Macaca mulatta: one gene and its partners. The protein of the gene in region 3 binds, or shares a complex with, the protein of the main gene of each other region. Links are inferred from orthologs where the notes say so. Each region holds a gene or a part of one and is shown on either strand. Other genes may lie near its edges. The genes, in order: ITGAE, FLNA and ITGB7.

Region 1 (5,092 bases), on a different chromosome or scaffold from region 3:
TTGGGAGGCTGAGGCGGGAGAAACGCTTGAACTTGGGAGGCAGAGGTTGCAGTGAGTTGAGATGGTGCCACTGCACTCCAGCCTGGGCAACAGAGTGAGACTCCATCTCTCTCAAGAAAATAATAATAATAAAATAAATAAATAAAATGAGAATGATAATAGGACTCACAGCTTGGAGCAGTGGCTTGTGCCTATAGTTCCAGCTACTCAGGAAGCTGAGGCAGGAGGACTGCTTGAGCCCAGGAGTCTAAGGATGCAGTGAGTCATGATCACACCACTGTACTCCAGTCTGGGTGACAGAGTGAGATGCTGTCTCTAAAAAAGAAAGAAAAATAATAGCACTTACCTGGTAGATTTTGTGGCGGTTGGATGGGTTAAAATATACAGTGTTGGCCGGGCGTCGTGGCTCACGCCTGTAATCCCAGCACTTTGGGAGGCCGAGGCGGGTGGATCACGAGGTCAGGAGATCAAGACCATCCTGGCTAACACAGTGAAACCCCGTCTCTACTAAAAATACAAAAAAATTAGCTGGGTGTGGTGGCGGGCGCCTGTAGTCCCAGCTACTCGGAGGCTGAGGCAGGAGAATGGCGTGAACCCGGGAGGCGGAGCTTGCAGTGAGCCGAGATGGCACCACTGCACTCCAGCCTGGGCGAAAAAGTGAGAATCCGTCTCAAAAAGAAAAAAAAAAAATTATATATATATATAGTGTTTACAGCAGTGCCTGACACATGATAAATGCCATGTGAGCATTATCTATCATTTTAATGTCATTACTCTTCCTGTATGCACACAAAAGGAAGAGACTGCCAGCCAGCACCTTTCTGCTGGGAGCAGGTGAGAAGGAAGAACACCTGTGTTACAGCCCTCCCTCTGCCTAGCCTCGCTGTGTGACTTAAGGGGGCATCACCCCCTTCTTTGGGTCTTTTGGGAGGATTGTGAACCCTCCCCATTCTAATACAGGTCAGAGAATGAAGTCTCTCCTGGAGGCGGTCATGCCTCTGGCAAAGCTCTCTTCTTCCTTTACTCTCCCCTGCTCAGAGACAACATCTTCACCTCAAGCCACGGCTCCAGAAGAAAGGCATCCAAGGTCATGGTGGTGCTCACTGATGGTGGCATATTCGAGGACCCCCTCGACCTTACGACAGTCATCAACTCCCCTAAAATGCATGGTGTTGAGCGCTTTGCCATTGGGGTAAGAGCCAGGAGCCGGGAGGCCCCTCCTGACCCTGCTCAGCCTGGGGTGGGGAGGAGTCAGGGTTGTAGATGGGGGCTTCTCTGTAAGCAGCTTATCCAGACCCTGTTCTGTTCGCAAACACTCCCCTTCTCCCCATGCCCTGTCATCCCAGAGAGGGCCCATTTCCCCATGGTGGTCACAGCTTCCTGGCCAAATAGTGACGGGAGAGCCCACAGGAAACGCACCAAGGAAGGTTCCTGGAGGACCGTGGTGCCGAGCTGAGTCCTGCCAGACAAATGAGAGTAGCTGCTTAGGGCACAGGGGAGGCAGAGAGGGCCCCGCAGGCAGAGGGAACGAGAGTAGCTGCTTAGGGCACAGGGGAGGCAGAGAGGGCCCCGCAGGCAGAGGGAACGGGAGTAGCTGGCCTAGGGCGCAGGGGAGGCAGAGAGGGCCCCGCAGGCAGAGGGAACGGGAGTAGCTGCTTAGGGCGCAGGGGAGGCAGAGAGGGCCCCGCAGGCAGAGGGAACGGGGGTAGCTGGCCTAGGGCGCAGGAGAGGCAGAGAGGGCCCCGCAGGCAGAGGGAACGGGGGTAGCTGGCCTAGGGCGCAGGGGAGGCAGAGAGGGGCCCTGCAGGCAGAGGGAACGGGAGTAGCTGCTTAGGGCGCAGGGGAGGCAGAGAGGGCCCCGCAGGCAGAGGGAACGGGAGTAGCTGCTTAGGGCACAGGGGAGGCAGAGAGGGGCCCTGCAGGCAGAGGAAACAGCATGTGCAGAGGTGAGGAGGGGCTCGGTGTGTTCAGGAGAACAAGTGTACTTTGGTAAAACTGGAATTTTGCCCAGAGTGTGTGTAGAACAGGGAGCAGGGAAAGGAGGAGAAAGGAAGAAAGGAGGCAGGTAATGGAGGGCCCCAGAGGTCAGGGGGAGGGGCTCAGCTCTCTCCTTGGGCCTGGGGAATCCTCGCGGTGCTGACTCACTGACCCAGGCCCCCTGTGCAGGTGGGAGAAGAATTTAAGAGTGCTAGGACTGAGAGGGAACTCAACCTGATCGCCTCAGACCCGGATGAGACCCACGCTTTCAAGGTGACTAACTACATGGCGCTGGATGGGCTGCTCAGCAAACTGCGGTACAACATCATCAGCATGGAAGGTGAGGGCTCCAGGACCCACACCACCACGGGAGACCCCAGCCTGTGCTCCAGCCCCGCCTCTGTCCCATCTTCATGTGGTTTCTCTGAGTAACTCCCATCATCTCTCTAAGCCTCAGCTGTTCCATGTCTAAAAAGGCAATGGCCGGGTGTGGTGGCTCACGCCTGGAATCCCAACACTTTGGGAGACAGAGGCGGGTGGATCGCTTGAGGCCAGGAGTTCGAGACCCGCCTGGGCAACATGGTAAAACCTTGTCTCTACTAAAACAAAAATTAGCTGGGGCCGGGTGTGGTGGCTCACGCCCGTAATCCCAACACTCTGGGAGGCCAAGGCCGGTGGATCACCTGAGGTCTGGAGTTCAAGACCAGCCTGGCCAACATGGTGAAATCCTGTTTCTGCTAAAAATACAAAACAATGTAGCCGGCCATGGTGGTGCACATCTGTGATCCCAGCTACTCAGGAGCCTGAGGCAGAAGAATCACTTGAACTTAGGAGGCGGAGTTTGCAGTGAGCCAAGATCGCCTCACTGCACTCCAGGATGGGTGACAGAGCAAGCCTCCATCTCAAAAAAAAAAAAAAAAAAAAAAAAAAAAAAAATTAGCCAGGCGTGGTGGTGCGTGACCTGTATTCCCAGCTACTTGGGAAGCTAAGGCAACAGGTCACTTGACCTTGGGAGGCACAGGTTGCAGTGAGCTGATATTGAGCCACTGCACTCCAGCCTGAGCAACAGAGCAAGACACTGTCTCAAAAAAAAAAAAAAAAAAAAAAAAAGGCAACAATATCTCCAACCTCTTGCGTCCCAGAATCTCCATGAAGTTCTGATGAACTGAGCTGGTGCTGGAGAAACAAGGATGACTGGAGCGTAGTCCCTTCTCCCAGGAGCTCCCAGACGAGGAAACTGAGGCCTAGAAAGAGAGAGCGAACTGCCCAGACAGTAGTTGCTCAAGGAGAACCTGGGTCTCTACCTTCAACCGGGTGCTCTTCCTGTTACACCAAGCATGGTTCCCTGAGGCCAAGCTGGACTGTCCCCTGCCTCCGTTTCTCCCTTCACCTCCGCCCACAGCAGTCTCACTGGGCTTCTTGGCTTGCAGGCACGGTTGGAGACGCCCTTCACTACCAGCTGGCACAGATCGGCTTCAGTGCTCAGATCCTGGATGAGGTATGTGGCTGACTCAGCCCCAGGCAGGCTCGCCTGTTGGGAAGGGGCCCAGAACACCTAGGATTCAGGGACTCCTGCCTCCCATCCAGAGCTCTGCTCTCCCTGTGATGATTCCTCTAAAAGAGCCATTTTATTTTACTTATTTATTTATTTTGAGACGGAGTCTTGCTCTGTCGCCCAGGCTGGAGTGCAGCGGTGTAATCTCAGCTCACTGCAACCTCTGCCTCCCAGGTTCAAGTGATTCTCCTGCCTCAGCCTCCCATGTAGCTGGGATTACAGGCACCTGCCACCACGGCCAGCTAATTTTTGTATTTTTGGTAGAGACGGGATTTCACCATGTTGGCCAGGCTGGTCTCGAACTCCTGACCTCAGGCGATCCACCTGCCTCGGCCTCCCAAAGTGCTGAGATTACAGGTCTGAGCCACCGCGCCCGGCCTGAAAGAGCCATTTTAGGATAAAGGGAAATATTTCTGCCTGCTCACCTTAATCTGGACCACTGAGATAGACAGAAGTGTGGCCATATTGATGACAGGAGGTGGATTTTTTCTGTGTGCTCAAACATCCAGTTGCTCCCCAGTCAACAGGATTCGGCCTGGGTCAGCCTACCAACCAAGCTGCTTGCTTCTCCCAGAGGCGGGAGTGCAAGGGCACGAGGCAGGAGCCCAGGGTTGGCCATCTCACCTTCGCACCTGCATCTCTGGCCAGACGGGCACTAGGCCACCGAACGCCCCCCTTCTCCCAGCCAGGTTAGCCGCGCTGGCCCAGAGACCCGCTGCCACCGTGGCCCGGCCCTGGGTCCCTCCCACTCATCTGGGCCCCATCCCCGTCCCCTTCAGCGGCAGGTGCTGCTCGGCGCCGTCGGGGCCTTTGACTGGTCCGGAGGCGCGCTGCTCTACAACACACGCAGCCGCCGGGGTCGCTTCCTGAACCAGACGGCGGCGGCGGTGGACGGGGAGGCTGCGCAGTACAGCTACCTGGGTGAGGGCGGGGCCTGGGGGCTACCTGGGTGAGGGCGGGGCCTGGGTGCTACCTGGGTGAGGGCGGGGCCTGGGTGCTACCTGGGTGAGGGCGGGGCCTGGGGGGCTACCTGGGTGAGGGTGGGGCCTGGGGGGCTACCTGGGTGAGGGCGGGGCCTGGGTGCTACCTGGGTGAGGGTGGGGCCTGGGGGGCTACCTGGGTGAGGGCGGGGCCTGGGGGGCTACCTGGGTGAGGGCGGGGCCTGGGGGGCTACCTGGGTGAGGGCGGGGCCTGGGGGGGCTACCTGGGTGAGGGCGGGGCCTGGGGGGCTACCTGGGTGAGGGCGGGGCCTGGGTGCTACCTGGGTGAGGGCGGGGCCTGGGTGCTACCTGGGTGAGGGCGGGGCCTGGGGGGCTACCTGGGTGAGGGCGGGGCCTGGGGGGCTACCTGGGTGAGGGCGGGGCCTGGGGGGCTTCCTGGGTGAGGGCGGGGCCTGTGGACTACCTGGGTGAGGGCGGGGCCTGGGTGCTACCTGGGTGAGGGCGGGTCCTGGGGGCTACCTGGGTGAGGGCGGGGCCTGTGGGGCTACCTGGCTGAGGGCGGGGCCTGGGTGCTACCTGGGTGAGGGCGGGGCCTGGAGATTACCTGGGAAGGACGGGG
Region 2 (5,092 bases), on a different chromosome or scaffold from region 3:
GTTCCCTGGTCCCAGTCTACATCTCAGCACAGCAGCCGCTGCACCATCTCCAGAGTTATCTACCAGAAAATTTTGAGTGAATAGCCCCCACTGCTCTGGGGACACAACACCCCAGGCCCCTGATCCTTGTCCTCAGGCCTCCTCTGCACCTGCCACCACACCCGAAGCCCACCCAGACCCAGGTGTTCAGAGTCTGACAAGTCTTATGGGAACCGCTGAGCAGGCCCCTCTGGGTCTGGAATGCCACTCCCGTTTGTCCCCTGGCTGGCCATGCTGGGCTCAGGGGCCTTTCCGACAGGAGAGGACCCCGGCTTCAACTCCCCCCAGTGCCCCGGGTGAACTGGCATGAATGATTAGGCGGGCACACGTCTCTGCACACATCGCACGGCACCCTCTGCCCGCGCCCACTGGCGTGCCCGTTGGCACGCCCGGACCCCTTCAAAGGTTACTTGCTCCTGGAGTGTCGGCGGCCTCCTGGCCCAGTGCCCCATATCCTCCCGGGTGGAGGGAAGCAGAGAGGGAGGCGGTGGGAAGCAGCGGGCACAGGTGCGCAGGCGAGGGCCCTACAGACTGGGAAGGCAGGCCCGTGGCAGGGGGTCTGCGGGGACCGCGTAGGCGCAGGCCTTGCCCTGCAGCCGCTTCCCAGGTGATGCGCACACAAAGGGCCCTCGGCAGTGCCTGGTCCGGGGCCGCCGCTCTCCAGGGGTTCGCTCTTAGGGTTGGCCCCTTCCCGCCGCTGCCGGGGCGGCGGACCGGGATGCCGCCCGGGAACCCTAGGCCCTGGGGGCCCGGGGAAAGGGGATGACGGTGGGAGGGTAGGGTTGTGCAGGGACGGGGCAGAGCCCAAGTGACTTAGGGACGAGAACCACCCCACCCCTCGCAGGAGCCCTGGGGAAGGAAAGTCCCTTGTAAGGCGCGCCGGCTGCAGGCCAAGCAGTCCCGCGCCAGATACTGCTCAGCCTTTCCTCGCTCTGGGGCGCGTTTCCTGCAGCGCCAACGCGAGGCCGCGGGGCTGGGAGCATCCTTGCCCACTCCAGGGCCCAGCGACCCACCCCGGAGCCCGGGTTTCACGTCTGATCAGCCAAAGCCCGGGGCCTAGTGGGGGCATTCCAACGGGCGGGGCGGGGTGGGGCAGTCGCGCCCCCGAAGCCCCACCCCACGGCCCCTCCCCGCAGGAGGCCCGCCCCCTGGCCCCGCCCCCCGCCCGCATTTAAAGGGCTCGCTCTCTCCGCAGCGCAACCTCTGCTTCCTTCCTCGCCTCCCGCGCGCCGAGGTGCCTGCGACTTTAATTAAAGGGCCGTCCCCTCGCCGAGGCTGCAGCACCGCCCCCCCGGCTTCTCGCGCCTCAAAATGAGTAGCTCCCACTCTCGGGCGGGCCAGAGCGCAGCAGGCGCGGCTCCGGGTGGTGGCGCTGACACGCGGGACGCGGAGATGCCGGCCACCGAGAAGGACCTCGCGGAGGACGCGCCGTGGAAGAAGATCCAGCAGAACACTTTCACGCGCTGGTGCAACGAGCACCTGAAGTGCGTGAGCAAGCGCATCGCCAACCTGCAGACGGACCTGAGCGACGGGCTGCGGCTCATCGCGCTGCTGGAGGTGCTCAGCCAGAAGAAGATGCACCGCAAGCACAACCAGCGGCCCACTTTCCGCCAAATGCAGCTTGAGAATGTGTCGGTGGCGCTCGAGTTCCTGGACCGCGAGAGCATCAAACTGGTGTCCATCGGTGAGGGACGCCCCGAAGCGCCGGGCGGGCGGGCGGGGGCGGGAATTCCGTGCGTCCTTCCATCCCCCCGGGCGGACCCCTCCAAACCACCTCCTTCCGGGCTGCGGCGCAGCTCCCGAGGCCCCCGGCTGGTCTGCTCCACGCGGGCCTGGAGAACAAAGGCGCGCGGGCTGGCGGGCTGGCCGGCCGGGCGTGCGAACCGCTACGCGCCCCCGCCCGCCGCGCCCCGGCTGGCCGGCGCCCAGGCTGAACTCACATCCTCAGCAGGCCGCGCCCCCGCAGATGTGCTCGCGGTGGGAGTGGGCCTGGGGGGTCGGGCACTGGGCAGGCTCTGGCCCTGCGCCCCATCCTCGAGGAGGAGGAGGCCCAGGCTCTCCCCCCACAGCTGTTTAGAGAGGGCCCTCTGGCTTCAGACTCCCCTTGTTTCTAAAGTGTGGGTTGGAGCTCGTGCGTCCCATTGTCTAGGACTCTGGGCTCTTTCTGTCCCTGGAGGATGCGTCGCCCATCGGAGATGGCTCCAACCACCAGTTTAGATCTACCTCCCCCACACACACAGGGAACCTGGGGGCCAGAAAGAAGCGTAGTTAGCAAAACTGTACCCGGAGTTGGGCGTGGTTGACTGAGGGACCTGGCTTGTAGACTACTTGGACGCCAACTTTTCTGTTCATCTTGGGACAAATTCTTGCTTCCATGTTGGCCTTGCTTTTCTGCGTATAGCACGCAGGAGTTGGTTGGTAGATGCTCCGGCGTGCACTGTGCCAGCCCAGTGTCTGTGTCACTGGACTGGTGAGGCTGGCATTGACCAGGCCTGCTGCAGCATCCCAGTTCTTTCTCAAGATAGGGGCTGCTTGGAAGGGCAGGCACCAGAACGGGTGACTTGGGGGTGACGTTGAACAGGGAGAGGAGAGGGATGATGATTCTTCTCTTCTTCAGAACTGAGAGGCCTTCCAGTTATCCCTGCAGCTCTGGAATGGCCCTTGCTGAACCCAAGAAAGTGAGGGACCAAGACTTGGGTTCCCCCAGCCACTCAGAGGGCAGATCCCAAGAATTGAAGTTCTTTCTTTGGAATGCCAGTTGAGGCGAGGGGCAGGCCCACCCCCCCAAGTCCCAGCCTCAGTCTAGCCAAGCTGAGTCATTTCAGAGTCCTGGATGGTGTGGGGGGGGGGCGACCGGATGTGGGGAGGCGGGCCACACCCCAGTTCTTTGGGGGGGGTCTCCTCCCTCCTCCCAGCTCCCCTCCTCCTTGTGAGCTGGCTGGAGCAGGCCTAGTTCCCAGAGCTTTGCCATATAAGGCAAAAAAATGTTGGAAAGCAGCAGTGATTAGGGGAGGGAGGGGCTGGCTGGCCCGGGGGCTGGGGAAAGGGGGTGGGATGGGGCGGGGCCATCCAGCCAGGCAGTCTCCCAGCCCTGGGCCCTGGTCCTTCACACTCTCTTTTGGGAGGGGGATGGGGACGGAGTAGGTTGGCCTAACATGGACCTGGTGGGCCTGGTTGCCCCCGGTGTGGGGGTCGTTAAGGGGTCTCAGGCTGGATTGGGGTGGGGGCCTGATGGGAAGCCCTGGCTGGCCTTGTTCCCTGGCCTTGCACCCTCAGTCCTCTCTGAGCCCCTCTCCCCGCTGCCATTTAGGGAGAGTGAAAGGCAGCCTCGTGGGGCCAGGACCAATCTGGGAACTGGGGAGGCCACTCTACTTTGAGCGGCCCACCTGGCCCTCCAGGTGCTGCCTGCTGGGCTGGGAAGCAGCTGCCGTGGACGGCCCAGCCCCTCCTCATAGACCCACCCCCTAGTTGACTCACCAGAGAAGTATTTTGTCTGATTATGGGAGAGGCTGACAGAGCTTCTAAAGATGAGCTCTTAGAAAGCCCAAACCATCCTGCCTTGAGCCTGAGACCCAGAAGTAGCTTTGGGTGGGGCCCAGAGCCCAGCAGGGTTGCCATGGCAATGGGGGGGGTGTCGGGGACCCGCCCTAACCACTTCCCCTGTGGCGAGCCTGCCGAGGCCCAGGCCCGTTAGGTGGCAAGTGGGTCAGGCAGTGGGTGGCAAGGGGGTTCCCACAGTGTCTCCTGCTGCCAGCCCGGCATCTCCCGATGGGCCCCAGTGAGTCAGGGCCATGTGGCCCAACTGCTGGTTCCTTTGGGCTCTGGGCCTCTCCCCTGGCCGGGCCTGTGGCCTCCCAGCTCCAAGCTTGGGTCTTCGAGGTAGTAGAGGAAGTGGAGGTGGTGGTGGGGGTCACACTCCTTTACCCAAAGGGTGTTTGCCCAACTCCCCCACTTCCCCTGCCTCACCCCACCCACCCTGGAACAACAGTTGTATTTCCCAACCACCCAGGGCCACCCGTCTTCCTCTTCCTCAGCCCCAGCCCCACTCCAGGCCATGGGCCCTGGATTCTGGGCCAGCTGGAGCCAATCTCCTCCTCCTGGTTCCCCATAGGCCCCTGAGGCGGGTGGCAGACCCCTGCTCTGGCAGCTGTGGACACTGTCCAGCTGTTCTCCAGAGCTGACCATCTGTGGGCTGGGTCTGCCCTCTGCCCTTCCTCTGGGCCCAGGGCTTCTGGCAGTAATCATACCCTGCTATCATCGCATGTCTGTGGGTATCTCCCCTCACCCCAAAGTCTCCTTTACTTCTGAACACCCCCTGGGATGCTGGGCAGAGAGGGCCTCATCCACATCCTACCACTGGTCAAGACGGGGTGTCTCCCTCCTCCTTGGCCCCCCCATCCCGTGCTACCAGACCATGACCCCAAAGCCTGGGAGCGGCCCCTCCCGCACAGCTGTGTGCCCAGTGTAGCCACTCTTGTACTCACAGACAGCAAGGCCATCGTGGACGGGAACCTGAAGCTGATCCTGGGCCTCATCTGGACCCTGATCCTGCACTACTCCATCTCCATGCCCATGTGGGATGAGGAGGAGGATGAGGAGGCCAAGAAGCAGACCCCCAAGCAGAGGCTCCTGGGCTGGATCCAGAACAAGCTGCCACAGCTGCCCATCACCAACTTCAGCCGAGACTGGCAGAGCGGCCGGGCCCTGGGTGCCCTGGTCGACAGCTGTGCCCCGGGTGAGGGGGCACAGAGGCAGGAGAGACTGGGCTGGGGTCGCCCATGGGTGGCCCTTGAGGGGCTTCTGTAGCCCCCGGATTCACAGCCTTCCTTGTGCCATAGGCCTGTGTCCTGACTGGGACTCTTGGGATGCCAGCAAGCCTGTGAATAATGCACGAGAGGCCATGCAGCAGGCGGATGACTGGCTGGGCATCCCCCAGGTACACCTGCCCGGCCTGTCTGCGGCTGTAGGGGACCGGATCGGCAGTTGGGAGAGACTCGGAGGCCCGATGGCTCCTGTTTTCTGCCCGTGACAGGTGATCACCCCCGAGGAGATT
Region 3 (5,092 bases):
TTAACAATTACCTAGTGGGTTGGAGTAAAATATCTTTTTTTTTTTTTTTTTTTGAGACAGAGTCTCGCTCTGTTGCCCAGGCTGGAGTGCAGTGGCCGGATCTCAGCTCACTGCAAGATCCGCCTCCCGGGTTCACGCCATTCTCCTGCCTCAGCCTCCCGAGTAGCTGGGACTACAGGCGCCCGCCAACTCGGCTAGTTTTTTATGTATTTTTAGTAGAGACGGGGTTTCACCGTGTTCGCCAGGATGGTCTCGATCTCCTGACCTTGTGATCCGCCCGTCTCGGCCTCCCAAAGTGCTGGGATTACAGGCTTGAGCCACCGCGCCCGGCCTGGAGTAAAGTATCTTGAGGAGAGTATCTTGAGGAGAAGGCATGTTTTTCTAATTCACAAGTAAGCTTCCACTAGCAGCAGCCTTCTTTGGGGGACTGGGGAGAGCAGGAGAAAGCAAGGTACTGTAGGCAAGGGGATGGACAAGCTGACTCAGAGTGAGGCTTGCCACATTCTTGGCTCACAGAGCTGGCTGGGGTGGCTCAAGGGCCATGCTCAGGTGCATAGCCTACCACCCCCACTGTGCCTCAGGAGCAGATTGGCTGGAGAAATGTGTCCCGGCTGCTGGTGTTCACTTCAGATGACACATTCCATACGGCTGGGGACGGGAAGTTGGGTGGCATTTTCATGCCCAGTGATGGGCACTGCCACTTGGACAGCAATGGCCTCTACAGTCGCAGCACAGAGTTTGTGAGTCCCTATAGTCACCCCGCCTCTCCCCATTTGAGCCATACCTCTTTCCTTCCAGGACTCCCACTCCCAGCCTTACAGTCCTCACCAGTAACCACCCTGTAGACAGCTGCCATCTTCCCCAGCAGTTCCTCCTTTCAGCTGTGGAGACAGGACACCTTTCCCTACCTCCTTCCTATTCCATAGCAAGCCTCCAGGGCTCCTCCAGCTGGTGGAACCTTGGTTCCTGGATTCCCCAGGCTGAGGGCACCTTGCATGTTGTGGGGGAGACCTGTGGGGCTCACCTTGTCCCTGCTCCCTGCCCTAGGACTACCCCTCTGTGGGTCAGGTAGCCCAGGCCCTCTCTGCAGCAAACATCCAGCCCATCTTTGCTGTCACCAGTGCTGCACTGCCTGTCTACCAGGTGAGAGCTGTCTACATGTCAGATCCCCAGCCCCACCCCAGCCTTTCTCAATTCCCCCAAAGATCCATTCTCTGTCCCCCATATGCCCTCCTTCCAGACCCCCAGGAGCCCATTTTCCTAGAGCTGTGACCTACCATTTCCCTTAACTCCCTATAACTCAGGAGCTGAGTAAGCTGATTCCTAAGTCTGCGGTTGGGGAGCTGAGTGAGGACTCCAGCAATGTGGTACAGCTCATCATGGATGCTTATAATGTGAGGGGCCAAACGAGGGGGAGATGGTGAGGGTGGGCACTAGGGAAAGGTGGAAAGGGGTCCTTGGGTGGGGTGGCAGAACTAAGGGGAAATGGTCACTTTTTGGTCTAACATTCCACAGCTCCTACCTATAGTCTGCATGTGGCTGTCATTAATTGTTCAATCTTACATTCATAAATCTTAAACATCTGACGTGCAGAGAGCATGGAGCTCAGATCCCCGCCCCACCTCCTCACCTGGCAGAGTGCAGCCTGCCAGGAAAGTTTCAGTCACTGAGCTTTTATTTCACACACCCACCATCCTAGGTGTACATACTGTTTCTACTTCATTTAACCCTGCCAAAAGCCTTGCTTCGTAACTGTTATCATCCCTCTTTTACAGAGGAGGAAACCCACACAAGGCTAAGTGACTTGTCCAAGGTCACAAAGATAACAAACAGAAGGGCTGGCATTTTTCCCCAGTCTGTACATAAACAATGTGAGATCTGGAGCCTGCTTTCACTATGTTTATAAATAATTCAGAGCTATTTTTCACAAGAACCATAGAATTTTACAGGTAGAAGGAACCATAAAAACTCTTAGTGGTTTAGGTCTTATCTCTGCAACTAGGCTGTAGGCTTCCTGATAACAGAGCATCTCCTAAACCTATGGCAAAAAAATCTGAGACGGTATCAAATTTCCCAAGACAAACTCTGTAATGAATTTGCCCTTTAGACCTGGCATGCACCCAGGTTATGTGTCCTGATGTGGGGCTTCACAAACATGGTCTCTGCACTGAAATGCTGTATTAGAGGCCTCTGGATCCTGTATATTCTATGCAAGGTTCTCATGGGTCCTCCCTCCAGAAATGCCTCGACTGGGCAGAATGTAAGGAGCCCCAGGTGGCAGAGGGCAGGGTGCTGGCAGAACTGGGAACACCTGGAGAGGACATAAGGTGGGGGTGGGGTCCTTTCCTGCCTTCACGTGGTTATCCACTTGCTCTCTTCCCATAGAGCCTGTCTTCCACTGTGACCCTTGAACACTCTTCACTCCCTCCTGGGGTCCACATTTCTTACGAATCCCAGTGTGAGGGTCCTGAGAAGACGGAGGGTAAGGCTGAGGATCGAGGACAGTGCAACCATGTCCAAATCAACCAGACGGTGAGAGCCAGCAAGCACAGGCAGAAGGCGGGCGGGCAGGGGGAGGTGGGAGTGGGAAATTAAGCAGGCAGGGAAAGATGGGGGGCAGGAATGGGGAGTGATGGGAGAGCCTGGGGTAATCCTCCATCCATCCTTCCTGAAGTAGTCTGAGTGGCTTCCTCAGGTAAAGTTTCTAGGAGTTGGGTGTTACCATGACCCCATCTCTTCATTTACTAAGGGGTGAGGTTCTGGATGATCTAAGGGGTGAGGTTCTGGGTGAGTTTGGTGTGTTTGTATAACCATGGCCTGATTCCTGCCTACCCTGTTCTTAGGTGACTTTCTGGGTTTCCCTCCAAGCCACCCACTGCCTCCCAGAGCCCCATCTCCTGAGGCTCCGGGCCCTTGGCTTCTCAGAGGAGCTGATTGTGGAGTTGCACACGCTGTGTGACTGTAACTGCAGTGACACCCAGGCCCAGGCTCCCCACTGCAGTGATGGCCAGGGACACCTACAATGTGGGGTATGCAGGTGAGGGCCTCCTCTTCCCTTCACCCAGCTGGCTGACAACAAACGACCAACCCTGGCCCGTATTCCTCCGCTGCTTTCCATTCCCCCCACAGGAGTATCCTTGACATCCCTAGACTCCCCACTCAATTTCATCCCTTGAAGCTTCCCAGATATGTTCAGGCCCTCCTCTTGACTGCGGCTCCCTCCACTCTCTCACCCCTCGTCGGTGTTCCACTATACTTATTCCTTCAGTTGTCTTTCTCCAACTCTTGAGAACTTGGGTTTAGAGGTTCCTGGGAGAGACAAGTCAGGGGTGATCAAACCCTCTGACCTACTTCCCTCCTTTGCCTTCCCCTCCCAGCTGTGCCCCCGGCCGCCTAGGCCGGCTCTGTGAGTGCTCTGAGGCTGAGCTGTCCTCCTTAGATCTGGAATCTGGGTGCCGGGCTCCCAATGGCACAGGGCCCCTATGCAGCGGAAAGGGTCAGTGCCAATGTGGACACTGCAGCTGCAATGGACAGAGCTCTGGACATCTGTGCGAGTGTGACGATGCCAGCTGTGAGCGACATGAGGGCATCCTCTGTGGAGGTACCTTGGGGAGAAGGGCAGGGTCTGAGAGGCCTTCCCAAGGCACTTAGGCTCTGGGAGTCTCCTGGCATGGAAGGCAAATGTCAAAGATTCTGGTGTATGGGTTAGAGAGTGTGTTTGGCATACTTGAAAAAGACTGGATGCATGCGCTTGTGGTGCCATGTGATGGCCAACTGTGTGTGTGGAGTATGGTTGTCACCCTCTGCATGGCTCTACCCCAGGCTTTGGTCGCTGCCAATGTGGAGTATGTCACTGTCATGCCAACCGCACGGGCAGAGCATGCGAATGCAGTGGGGACATGGACAGTTGCATCAGTCCCGAGGGAGGGCTCTGCAGTGGGCATGGACGCTGCAAATGCAACCGCTGCCAGTGCTCGGATGGCTACTACGGTGCTCTATGTGACCAATGCCCAGGCTGCAAGACACCATGTGAGAGACACCGGTGAGGCCTCAGGTCTTGCATCTTGGGAGCAGGGGCACAGTGGGGCTTGTTGAGCCACTCCCATCTGCCTACTCTCCTTCCTGCTTGTAGTTGGGTAAAGGGCATTGGGTGACAACTACCCAGCTGGTAACTTATTGGCATCTACTGCATAGGGACTGTGCAGAGTGTGGGGCCTTTGGGACTGGCCTCCTGGCCACCAATTGCAGTACAGCTTGTGCCCATACCAATGTGACCCTGGTCTTGGCCCCTATCTTGGATGATGGCTGGTGCAAAGAGAGGACCCTGGACAACCACTTGTTCTTCTTCTTGGTGGAGGATGACGCCAGAGGCAGGGTCGTGCTCAGAGTGAGACCCCAAGAAAGTAAGTGGTCAGGGATGCCACAAACCCTGGAAGTTTGATGGGTAGGGTCTCAACTCTGGGGATGCAGAGTGAAGATAATGGGAAACAGGATGGGGGCTGAGGCAGAACTGTGAATCCAGAACAAAGGCAGAGGCGACTGAGCAAGTGGACAAGGCTAAGGCCCTGGGCAGTGAGAATAACCCTGGACCTTGCTGGGTTCCCTTTGCTTTCAGTGACAGGGTTGGACAGGCTGGACACACCGTGAACAACTGTTGATCTGTCCCTATGCTCCAGCTCCCACAAGTGTGTCTGGTTTCTTGTTCACAGAGGGAGCAGACCACACCCAGGCCATTGTGCTGGGCTGCGTAGGGGGCATTGTGGCAGTGGGGCTGGGGCTGGTCCTGGCTTACCGGCTCTCGGTGGAAATCTATGACCGCCGGGAATACAGTCGCTTTGAGAAGGAGCAGCAACAACTCAACTGGAAGCAGGTGAAACTTCCTGGTTAGGCCCCCTTTTAGCTGTCTCCCCACCACAAGCCCATCCCTGATTCCTCCCACTGGGTTCCCCCAGCGCCTGGCACATGTAACCAATCCCTCTGCTAACTTCCATCAGCTCCTAGGATTCGGCTCAAGACTGGCCTCTTAGGTCTAGAAAGGGGACAAGGAATCCTGGGATTTTTGCTCATAATCTGCAACATCTTTCCTCAGGAC

What was found.
Region 1: the proteins of ITGB7 (region 3) and ITGAE are in contact, whole or in part, in a cryo-EM structure (PDB 8ZJF), measured with the Homo sapiens proteins. The link is inferred for Macaca mulatta from reciprocal best matches to the Homo sapiens genes ITGB7 and ITGAE. Residues at the interface, in NP_000880.1 of Homo sapiens: Val201, Leu202, Pro203, Ser206, Thr207, Val208, Pro209, Ser210, Lys211, Arg213, His214, Cys216, Pro217, Arg219, Leu220, Glu221, Arg222, Leu255, Asp256, Ser257, Pro258, Thr291, Phe292, His293, Thr294, Ala295, Gly296, Asp297, Lys299, Leu300; in NP_002199.3 of Homo sapiens: Phe36, Leu38, Arg91, His92, Arg93, Gly94, Leu111, Arg113, Leu118, Ser119, Ser120, Leu122, Glu196, Glu198, Arg230, Tyr233, Glu234, Phe237, Glu238, Cys239, Asn240, Ser259, Gln260, Val262, Met263, Leu266, Arg300, Leu401, Gln403, Phe406.
Region 2: the proteins of ITGB7 (region 3) and FLNA are in contact, whole or in part, in a crystal structure (PDB 2BRQ), measured with the Homo sapiens proteins. The link is inferred for Macaca mulatta from reciprocal best matches to the Homo sapiens genes ITGB7 and FLNA. Residues at the interface, in NP_000880.1 of Homo sapiens: Pro776, Leu777, Tyr778, Lys779, Ser780, Ala781, Ile782, Thr783, Thr784, Thr785, Ile786, Asn787, Pro788; in NP_001104026.1 of Homo sapiens: Thr2263, Gly2267, Ala2268, Gly2269, Gly2270, Leu2271, Ala2272, Ile2273, Ala2274, Val2275, Glu2276, Gly2277, Pro2278, Ser2279, Lys2280, Ala2281, Ile2283, Phe2285, Phe2311.

What each region holds. Positions count from the first base shown.
Region 1 is NC_133421.1:5,243,780-5,248,871, reverse strand, and holds part of ITGAE (integrin alpha-E), read left to right. Parts: intron 1-1,038; coding exon 1,039-1,192; intron 1,193-2,166; coding exon 2,167-2,317; intron 2,318-3,407; coding exon 3,408-3,475; intron 3,476-4,311; coding exon 4,312-4,481; intron 4,482-5,092. UniProt on the Homo sapiens protein: Integrin alpha-E/beta-7 is a receptor for E-cadherin. It mediates adhesion of intra-epithelial T-lymphocytes to epithelial cell monolayers.
Region 2 is NC_133426.1:160,543,462-160,548,553, forward strand, and holds part of FLNA (filamin-A), read left to right. Parts: intron 1-1,234; 5' UTR 1,235-1,350; coding exon 1,351-1,723; intron 1,724-4,525; coding exon 4,526-4,774; intron 4,775-4,877; coding exon 4,878-4,975; intron 4,976-5,071; coding exon 5,072-5,092. UniProt on the Homo sapiens protein: Promotes orthogonal branching of actin filaments and links actin filaments to membrane glycoproteins. Anchors various transmembrane proteins to the actin cytoskeleton and serves as a scaffold for a wide range of cytoplasmic signaling proteins.
Region 3 is NC_133416.1:60,331,364-60,336,455, reverse strand, and holds part of ITGB7 (integrin beta-7), read left to right. Parts: intron 1-581; coding exon 582-740; intron 741-1,047; coding exon 1,048-1,143; intron 1,144-1,304; coding exon 1,305-1,394; intron 1,395-2,385; coding exon 2,386-2,532; intron 2,533-2,843; coding exon 2,844-3,037; intron 3,038-3,377; coding exon 3,378-3,601; intron 3,602-3,822; coding exon 3,823-4,042; intron 4,043-4,194; coding exon 4,195-4,403; intron 4,404-4,709; coding exon 4,710-4,870; intron 4,871-4,994; coding exon of another isoform or gene 4,995-5,027; exon of another isoform or gene 5,028-5,089; coding exon 5,090-5,092. UniProt on the Homo sapiens protein: Integrin ITGA4/ITGB7 (alpha-4/beta-7) (Peyer patches-specific homing receptor LPAM-1) is an adhesion molecule that mediates lymphocyte migration and homing to gut-associated lymphoid tissue (GALT).